2 linked regions of the Saccharomyces cerevisiae S288C genome follow. The protein of the gene in region 1 purifies or fractionates together with the protein of each later gene. This does not show direct contact. Each region holds a gene or a part of one and is shown in the gene's direction. Other genes may lie near its edges.

The links. The genes of interacting proteins can lie anywhere in the genome.
Region 2: the proteins of IKI1 (region 1) and KTI12 purify together in Saccharomyces cerevisiae (affinity purification with western blotting; 5 studies listed by BioGRID). This does not show direct contact.

Annotation. Positions count from the first base shown.
Region 1 is NC_001140.6:479,051-483,665, forward strand, and holds IKI1 (Elongator subunit IKI1), read left to right. Parts: upstream 1-1,939; coding exon 1,940-2,869; downstream 2,870-4,615. Other genes in the region: ubiquitin-binding TORC1 subunit KOG1, read right to left, coding at 1-1,622; GPI-anchor transamidase subunit GPI16, read right to left, coding at 2,955-4,615. UniProt on the Saccharomyces cerevisiae protein: Component of the elongator complex which is required for multiple tRNA modifications, including mcm5U (5-methoxycarbonylmethyl uridine), mcm5s2U (5-methoxycarbonylmethyl-2-thiouridine), and ncm5U (5-carbamoylmethyl uridine).
Region 2 is NC_001143.9:228,431-234,128, reverse strand, and holds KTI12 (Kti12p), read left to right. Parts: upstream 1-4,248; coding exon 4,249-5,190; downstream 5,191-5,698. Other genes in the region: transcription factor HAP4, read right to left, coding at 238-1,902; DNA-binding protein ABF1, read right to left, coding at 5,364-5,698. UniProt on the Saccharomyces cerevisiae protein: Elongator complex-associated factor that is not a structural subunit but rather transiently contacts the complex.

The DNA of each region.
Region 1 (4,615 bases):
AACCACAATTCAAAAGCAGTCAAATTTTGTTCAAAAAATCCTGTAAATTGTTGTTGTTGTTGTTGCTGCTGCTGTAATTGTTGCTGTGAGCTTTGCAAAGATATAGATTTTCTTGATTGGAGAGCAGGGTTATTTACTAGAGACATTGTACTTAAATTGGCCACTGCAAATCTCGATTGTGTTTGAATACTTCCGGCTTTCGTATCTTGGGCATTCGACTTAGAGCTGCCACCATTCTGTAAGGTTTCTTGTTGTTGTAGAATCATCTGACTCTCTAAGGCAGTAGCGGGAGGAGCATTTTTCAGATCAATGACTATTTTAGTCAGTACTTCATCCATGGCTAAATCCCAAGATTTCCACATTGGATGTGTGGTTATACTATCTGGTAATTCTGGATCAGATACAGGATGGCAATTGTACCACGGCATTATTCTTTTGGCTAGAAGAAAATTTCTGAAAAGCGCAGCAATCATTAAATCATGTCTGAATAATTTTTTGAAAAGTGGTCGGGGGAGGGATGTCCATGCAATTGTGTCCGTTATAGCTGTAAAAATCCAATTTAGTTCTCCCAACGGCGTTCTCCTATCCGACAACATTCCAGGGATATTGACGTTGGGTATTTTGGACTTGAACGAGTTCTTACTATCACCAAACGGTTGATTTGAAGTACTATTTTCGAAGAAAATTTTATATTTAGAATCTTTTAAGGGTGACTGCATGAGAAAGATACGGATGCTAATCTCTATTGGACAGGTCAAACAACAACTAAACAAATCTGCGGGTAGTTCCGGACTCATAAGTAAAAGTTCATCGGAAGTGCAAGAGGCTAATTGGAAACAATCTTGATAAGCTGAAGTTGGTGATGGCGCGGCAACATCATGATTTCCCTCTTCATCATCTTTAATCCTCTTTTGCACAAACTTCTGAAAGTTGATTAATATATTTTCAGCACTGTTGCAATCATAGACAAATATACATGGCGCACCTAACCAAGTTTGCAGGTCATACAAAGATACCGGAATATATTGTGTATAACCTCTGTTGAAAACCCAAATTTCACCTGATTTTGTAGGCTTAGGCACACCATGTCCGTTGTAGTGGAAAAGTATCCTATCTTCCTTAGAAGTTCTTCTTAGCGAGTTGCAAAACCGTTTGACATCCTCTACACAAGGATCCAAGCTTTGTTTATAGCGTGTTCTCAAAGACAGAGTTTCGTACTGTGCTTGTAAGTTTTTACCAATTTGTTCTATTGCTTTCTTCGAGTCCTGGAAATTCAATGGGTCTACCCATGCTTCAACTCTGGCACAGGGATGTGTCTTCATAACATCAGGGGGATCGACACCTAAATTCAAGCATAATAAAAGGGCCGCACTTACTGTCTTCTGTCGATCTTTCATAATCTTCCAATCGGTAATCGGCTGGTAATAACGATTTACATCTCGTTGTTTATCCTCTTCAGGAATCGGATTTCCATTAGTTTTGTGTCGTTTATCATCAAAGTAGAATATGAAATCATTCGCGAGTGATTGTAAAAGTTGGTCACTTTGGTATTGCTCTTCAAACCCATGTCTCATCACCGTATTGAGTGGCTTTAATGGCTGAGGTCCATAAATCTCCGGCATTATGTATCTTTTACCCTTCTCTGCATGCAATAGGATTCGCTAAATGTAATCAAAGGAATCTACAAACCAAATGCATTCGAAAATAACTTTACAAGTTTTAAAATCCTCTATATACTTATGTAAAGTACTACCTATTGATGATTTATTAAAGTATTTTTGATACTATTAATGCTGCCTTGATTATCATCTCATAGTGCGGGTCACCTTGAAAAATCCAAATATAAGAAGCGATGCCATTATAACCTCTGGAGAATGATAACTTAAGAGCTTTTTAATAGCTCCAACCCAAGCTATTGCTACAGGTAGAACAAGATATAATGGCCAGTTCGTCACATAACCCTGTCATTCTTTTGAAAAGAATCTTATCGCTCACAGAAAGCTCCCCTTTCATTTTGTGCTTAGATTCTATTGCCCAGACCTCATACAAGCTCATCCAAGAATTCGTCCACCAGAGCAAGAGTAAAGGAAATGAGTATCCAATTGTGTACATTTCGTTCGAAACAGTGAATAAACCATCGTACTGTACTCAATTTATTGACGCTACGCAGATGGATTTTGTACATTTAGTGAAACAAATTATATCATATCTACCGGCTGCTACTGCCACACAGGCAAAAAAGCACATGGTCATTATCGATTCATTGAACTATATTTCTACAGAATACATAACAAGGTTTTTGTCTGAGATCGCCTCTCCTCACTGCACGATGGTTGCGACTTATCATAAAGACATCAAAGATGAGAACCGTACGGTAATACCTGATTGGAATAACAATTATCCTGATAAGTTGACTTTACTGCAGTTTATGGCCACTACAATAGTAGATATTGATGTGGTATTAACAGGCACTCTCGATACTGAGGAGGTGAGTGAATTGTTAAACGAATTTAGAATTCCTCGCGGGTTAAATAACGATATATTTCAATTACGACTTGTTAATAAAAGAAAGTCCGGCAGGTCATTGGAATACGACTTCATAGTAAATTCAAACACCCACGAATATGAATTATTATCAACCACTAAGCAAGAAGAGGAGAGCAGTAGTAACGGACTGGAGACACCCGAAATGTTGCAAGGATTAACAACATTCAACCTAGGAACATCCAACAAACAGAAGCTGGCCAAAGATCAAGTCGCATTGCCTTTTCTGGAGGCACAAAGCTTTGGACAAGGGGGTGCTATTGTTTATGAGTACGAAAAGGATGACGATTATGATGAAGAGGATCCATATGAGGATCCCTTTTAAAAAGTAGAAACTGATGGTAAATAGTGAGTGCTTCCAGATTATGTAAACTACGTATACTTCATACACATATCTAGATGCTAGATTGTTAGTCTGTTTTAGTCTTTTTTTTCCCTAGGAACTTTTCCTTTAGCTTTAGCAATTTGTATTTTAAGCCAGATTGCAACGTAATCTTATCGGCCTCTTCGACGGTGACCATTCTCTTCACCATCAAATTGTATAGCATACCGAATATGAGTCCCATGATTGTAGATGTTAGAATGATGACGTTATACGGCATACTAAAATCCGGTGTAGACAGGGATAACAATAGGGTAGAGGTTCTCATTTCATAAAGAGACGATGAGGACTCCAAAGATAGCACGGTGATTACAGCTGCATCGATTTCAAAACCATGGTTTGCATCTGGTGGATACTCGGCAAATTGCAGAAGAGCTTTATCGAATTGATAAGTCATTACAATGTCCGTATTAGCTGGAATTAACATCGTGAACTCCAAGTGGCCAGGTCTTTTTCTATCGGCCGCTTGTAAATAGTATTTATCTAAGATGATATCGTTTTCTTGCAATTGCGGAGAGGTAGTAGAAGTAATTTGAAGAGAGGATAGGTAAACTCTCATGAACCATGGCAATGATTCGAAATAAATCAACTTCACAGGGGTATCATTGTCGTTATGGAAAACAATACGCATTCCACCACGATCTTGTCCATTACCAGTCAGAGATCTGCTTACGTGAATTGGGACAGGAACTATGGGAGTAACTTTAGTAGTGTCCGTCGATTCTAAAATAAAGTCGTAGCCCGAACCACCCTCATTTTGATCGTTTGATAAGTCAAAGCAATTATCATGTGTGCTGAAAATAGTATCGTCAACTGACAAAAACGCAGTCCAGGTAGAACGGTCAACTTCTGCACAAATTCTTGTGGGCCTATTAGCAAACAGGTTGCCATTGTTTATTGGTCTGGCAAACAGCTGAGACAGCTTGAAGTGAGTCTGCGAAGGTTCCGGTAGAGGGAAGCATTGGTAAGAATCAAAGGGTTTATCCGTGTCACAACGCAATGTGTTCCCATCCAAAGGTTTGGGGATAGGTCTCTCACCTCTTGCCAAGGCGGAGGGAACGTGTGTTACCATTTCTATGCGTGCGTCCATCTCGTAGTGACAAAGAGCATCTTCATCTTCAGAACAAATAGTGGCAATATCCAAGGAAATACTATTCCATAGAGAGTCGAACAATTTATGACCATCCAAGAGAGATGTCAAACCGGATTTGCCCCTAGTAGGCAATAGTTTTATGAACGGCGTCAAGTTCTCGGTACAGATGGGTTCATTGGGCAACGATGCTCGCATCAGGTACAGTTTCTCGGTGCTATTGAAAAGAGGAGCTCCTATATCAGAAGCATATGACCGCCGGGGAAAGGTCGTCCTTGACTCGTCGATAAAATTTAAAGAAGAACAAAACAATCCGCTCAATGAATTGGACAGTTTTTTCCAATTATGGAACGCCTGTTCCTGATCCATGGCCTGCACTTGCGACCACAATTCCACACCTGAGGCACCTGCCTCTTTTCCAGCATGTGGCAACTGTCCCCACGACAGGGCATCCCAGAATCCTCTGGTAAATCTTAAATGAAACTGACGCGTGGCAGTAGATTCCAACAATGGTGGGATGGCCCGTGGGAAAGTCGTGTAGTGCTCATACGCATCATATGACATGGATGATACGGCCGGGTCAAACGGTTCCGATTGCA
Region 2 (5,698 bases), on another chromosome or scaffold:
TCATTTTAACTTTTTTTTTATGATAAAGAAAGAAAAAAAAAATCATTAACATCATTAAAAAACAATCAAAGTTTTGTTTTTTTACTTTTTTTTTTTGGAATTTTTGTTGTTGAAGGAAAAGGACGCCTAAGCAGGCGAAGAATACTATCATTACCCATAATAAGAATTTTTTATTGTATAATATCATTTTGTTTTCGTGATTTTTAGTTGTTTTCGTTTTATTGCAACATGCCTATTTCAAAATACTTGTACCTTTAAAAAATCGACATCTTCGTCAAGGTCGTCGATGAAACTGCTTTGATCAAGTTCATTGGTGGCAGTTGCATCATTGTTGTTATCGTTTAAGTCATAAAGGTTAGCGTTCGACTTCGACGTAGAAATTTTTTTGGATTTCAGAACTTTGGTGTAGTCGTCATCAGTACCGGCACTACCGTCAATACCGGTATCGTTGGAAAACATGAAATTTTTAAAAGATCTGCCATTGTTACAGTCCTGCTCTTCCATCAACTCTTCTAGAGTTGGGGGCAAATAAGAAAACTTATTGTCAGCCAAAGTGATTTCTGAACCTAACTCGTCATGGTGATGCGAATCAGCGCTTTCATCCTGATCCTGAAGAAACAGATAGGTTTCATCGTTCTTTGCTTGGATGTTCGCCTTCTCAGAATTAGTATTTTTTTTCAAAGCACGTGATGAATCTTCTTGTTGTGAACTTGAACTTGGTAAATAATTCCAAATGTCTTCTTCATCTGGCTCAACCTTATCATCTTGCCCTGAAGATACGGTTTCCTCCAAAATTGGCAGATTCAATAAAGACATATTATCGTCATTGTCCACTTGTTGGTAATTGCCACTGTTCTTACCTGTTGTATCGTCCATAGACTGTAAGTAAGAATTCCAGAGATCATTATTTTCGTTAACGTCGTTATTCGTGTTGACTTTGGCATACTTATTGAAAAACTCAAGTTTCTCGAAATCGTTAAAGAATTTAATCTCGTTCAAATCCTCAATTTTGTCCTTAACTTGCAAATTAGTAGGCAAGGAGTGGTTTCTAATCAACGAGACTGAATCTGCTGGAGAGAAATCTGCTGGAGAATCAGGGAATGAAGCCTTATGAGGGATCTTATGAAAATTTAGGTTCATGTTCAAATCTTTTGTCAACTGTGGGACCGGAGTGGCCGATGAAGATGTGGAAGATAAGGACAATAAATCAAAGTCGTTCAACTTTGATTTTTTCGTGGGTGGTGCGTGAACATTTGAAGAAGAATCTATATGATGGTTTTTTGTTAGCAGACTGTTGTGAGCAGCAATGGTTTCCACATCGGTGCAGCTTTCATCGTCCATGAATTCTGATTTTTTTCTATTTCTATAACTTGAAAAAGATGGAGATGAATAAGATGGAGATGAAATGGAGGAGGCAGAAGAATGAAACTTTTCATTTTCCAAGTCATCGAACTTCAAAAATGCGAGGTAATTCGAGTCGTTTATTAGCTTTTCATCGATTGTCTGGATATGTCTTGGTATTTTCCTCTTTTCTTTGGAAGCTTGTTTCCTATTCGAAATGATGTTATTATTATTATTATTATTACTACTGTTCCTGCTGTTAGGGCCAACATTTAAAATATTATTGGTGTTGTTGGCAGGTAGAGTGTTGTGAGAAGATGATCTTCTACCAGGTCTTGGTCTTGGGGGCAAAACCCAATGTTTTGAAGTTCTAACCACCAAGCTAGACTTCTTCTTCTTTTTACTGCCATCGTTTTCGAATTCCAGCGAACTATTGTTATGATGGTTGGTATTTGGGGCGATCGGTACAGGCGCCAATGGAATATTATTATGCTCATTTTTAAAATGGTTACTACGAGGGCGACTAGCGGAGGCCTGTAGTAGAAAAGTCTTTGCGGTCATGATTCTTTTTTTGTTTTTTTTTTGTACTAGAAAATGTAGGTAAAACAAATCAGCAACCCATTAAAATGCTCTTTGATGTACTAGGAGACCAATAAATATGTGTGGAAAAAAAATAAAACTGTGTTTTTTCTCTTCCTATGCGTTTGATAATGATCTGCTCAAATAAATAATGACCCTTTTTTATTTTTCTGGTTCCTTTATAGTAGTATTTTTATATTATTAAGTGTAAAGTGGACCTGTAGATAGCATATACGATATAAAACTGGGGTTTAGAGAGGTGAAGGAATTAATAAAGGTAAAAAAATTAAAAGGAAAAAGGAGATGGACCTAAACAACCACACGGGGTTAAGCAAGAAGAAATTGATATAGGAGATTAGTTAATAGCTTTACAATATATATAATTTATCTAAAAACGATCTCATACTCAATAAATTTTTTTAGAGTAGTCTCGGAAAGAAAATAGCAATCCATTTACTTTTAGAACAATCTGCAAAATCGATACATGACACTTGGAAGCAACTGTGAAAAGGCTACGGCCATTGCTTACCGCGTGCAAGATCCGTAACATAAGAAAACTTTAGTCCTTGATGAAAGAAAATTTTCGTTTTTTTTTTCAGGTTCAGCGGGCTTAACCTCGTTTGCCGCCTCGGCCCCGCTCCGTTGTGCTGGCCATCTGTGCGCGGCGGGCTTCCCCCCCGTCGCTACTTCCGGATTAAACTTTTAGACTTCGGACCCCTGCCCCGGGGGGTTTCTCTGAACGCCGGGGTAGTGGTCCAAAGCCCACGAAACGCGTGTTCCTCTCAGCGGCATTGGAGTGAATAAAGCCCGCAGGACAGCCTTTTTTTTCCGGGCTGCACGACCGAATCAACTTGTCGCTCTATTCCTCCGTTGTTCCCGATTTGTAGCTCGGGGCCGACTCGCTTTTTGGCCAAGAAAATTGAGGAAAGCCCGTATTGCGGAGAAGGTTCTTATGTATTTGCCGTGCGATCAACCTCCGGGGCCCGGGTTTCAAATTCCGGCAATCATCCATGCCTAGTTTTGGAAATTCTCAGCAGAGGTTATCCCGTAAGGTGAAAAAAAGACATAAACGGTTTTTGCCTACAGTTTCCGGCAAAATAGTGATCTCATAGTACATCACTACTGCGAAGTCACCGGCCCGTACAGAAAAAGTATATCTTTAAATAGCGGCCCTACCTCTGCTTCTACCTACTTCATATTCGAATTCTTTTCTCGCCTTCCGCAGTGTTTCGCAAATCTGGACCTACGCACTAAATCATTTATGATTGTTCTCTCTTTCACGTGATAAGGTTTGCATTCTATTCGTTACCCTATTAATTATTACTATTTTTTTCAGCATGAGTTTTATTTCGCACATAAAATGCATCTATTTCTGGATATTACTGTAGTTTTCTTTGCTTTTCGCCTACCGCGCGGCGAAAAGTCGTATCAATCAATATGTGCCACTGCTATCATCCCTTGATAGAGTACAACGTAAAAGAGGCATTGTAGCATATTCACCCCGCTTGATAACTAGATTTTTTAGGCAAGAGTTGCGCACAGCGTACTGTGCACTACGGTATACAGAATTACACAATTGATACTTATTCTCTCCTTCATTGTTGCTCTGTTTCCGTTGTTTAAACTTTATCCAAAAACTCTGTTTTCTGTTTATTGAACCCCTTGCTTTCGCAAGCAAGCCCGACATATACGAACAGAACTGGGGAGAGGGAGTCTTATGCTGTACAACTCATGTAACCCCCACTATCTCAGGAGTTATATTAAATCAAGGCACGCCAGTGCTGCCTCTCTTGGTACGACAAACAAGTTTTTCCCGATTCTAGGTATTGCATTACATAATATCAACCCTTTGTTGTTTTCTTTTGATTTTTGAAAAGAAATATCTCATACCAACCGGAAAGGAAAAAGGACACAATTTGGGAAAATAGGCAATTTATTATGTACACAAGTCATAACCAAGAAAAAAGTAAGGGTAAAACAAGCAATTACTGAACTTGTTTCATGAGACTCATATCCAGAAGCATATTTATATAAGGAAATATTAGTTGCAAATCATTATGTCATTCCTTTCGCACACCCGATATGCTAAAAACAGCATACATGCACACTGCGCTTGGCTTGGACATATTCTCTCTGCATATGATGGAAAAAAAATCTTTTTTTTTCTTTTTCTTTGACTTTTTGCCGTTTTGTCATCGTCATCGCGATGGAAAAAGAAATGAAGAATACTTGATGAACAGGTGAAACTTGAACAATAACGTATCAGAATGAGGGTAAAGGGACCTTGTAAAACTTTTGAAAAAACTAAACAGGCAATTTAGTAAGAAGATGCCACTGGTGCTTTTTACGGGATACCCATGTAGTGGTAAGACAACGCTTGCTAAACATTTGGTACAACTACTACAGTCCAAGATCGATGCAACCCCATCATTAAGTAAATATTCCATAACCTATCATTCAGATGAATCTTTAGGCATAAAACATTCAGATTATATAACTTCCCAAGATGAAAGAAAATTGAGGTCGGAGATCATCTCCGCAGTGAAAAGAGATCTATCTAAAAACAAGATAGTCATTGTAGACTCGTTGAATTATATCAAGGGTTTCCGGTATCAACTTCACTGCGAGGTGAAAAATTTGTCCACCACATTTTGTGTAATTCAAACACTGTGTCCACCAGAGACTATATTCGAGTGGAATAAGACTTCAAACCCGAACCCTTGGGAACCCGAGTTATTGAATCAATTGATTCAACGATACGAAGAGCCTAACTCAAGCAACCGATGGGACTCTCCACTCTTTGCTATTCTTACTCCTCAGGACAACATAACTGACTACATCGACGATATTTGTAAAGTAGTCTTTCAAACTTCCAAATCGGCTAAAAACAGTGGACACAATGATCCGTTGAGTAAGGGCTTACAAAAACCGAACTCAGCCACGGTACTAAAGCCTGCGTCTCAGTCCAATTTCATCCAGGTTCTCGACATCGAAACTAGTAAGATAATAAAAACCATAATGAACCACATCAAAAGCCTGACTTCTATTGGCGGGGTAAGTAACGGAACAAGAGTCATTGTTTCCGAAGGGATTACCGATATCAATGATGATGGTTGCTTCTTCGTAGACTTGCCCATTGGTAACGTCGTTACGTTGGCGCAATTGCAGAGATTGAAAAGGCAATTCATTAACTTCAACAAACTAAGAGATATAGATCAAGATAGGATCGGTCCGCTTTTCGCTGATTATCTTAACAAAAACTTGAATTGAGATATACATGTGATTAATATCAGAAGGTAAATGGCAAGACGAAATTTGCTTGTTTATAATACAAAAAAACATACATAAGATATAATATATATTTCAATAGAAAAGAAAAAGTATAGAAAAGTGAATAAACAAAAGAAACATGAGAAAAATAGCTCGTCTTCTCAACTGGGTATCTATTGACCTCTTAATTCTGGTTGAATGTTTTCATCAGAAAGGTCTTCTTCATCATCGGCTTTCCCTATTAGTCCAGCAACATCTTCTTCATCGTGATGAGGTTGGCTATGATGGTTATTATGATGAGTTGTGTTCTTATTATACTGCGATTCTACATCCACGTCCACCATTACATCGTCTACGTCATCATCATTATTCTGGTGTAGATTCTCTACCTCTTTCAAATGCGATGACAGTAACCTTAACTGTTCCGCCACTTCATGTGGTAGTTTGTCGTCTTCATTTCTCTCTTCCAGTGTGATATCTGACAAATGCTGTCTTTTGGACTTGTGAG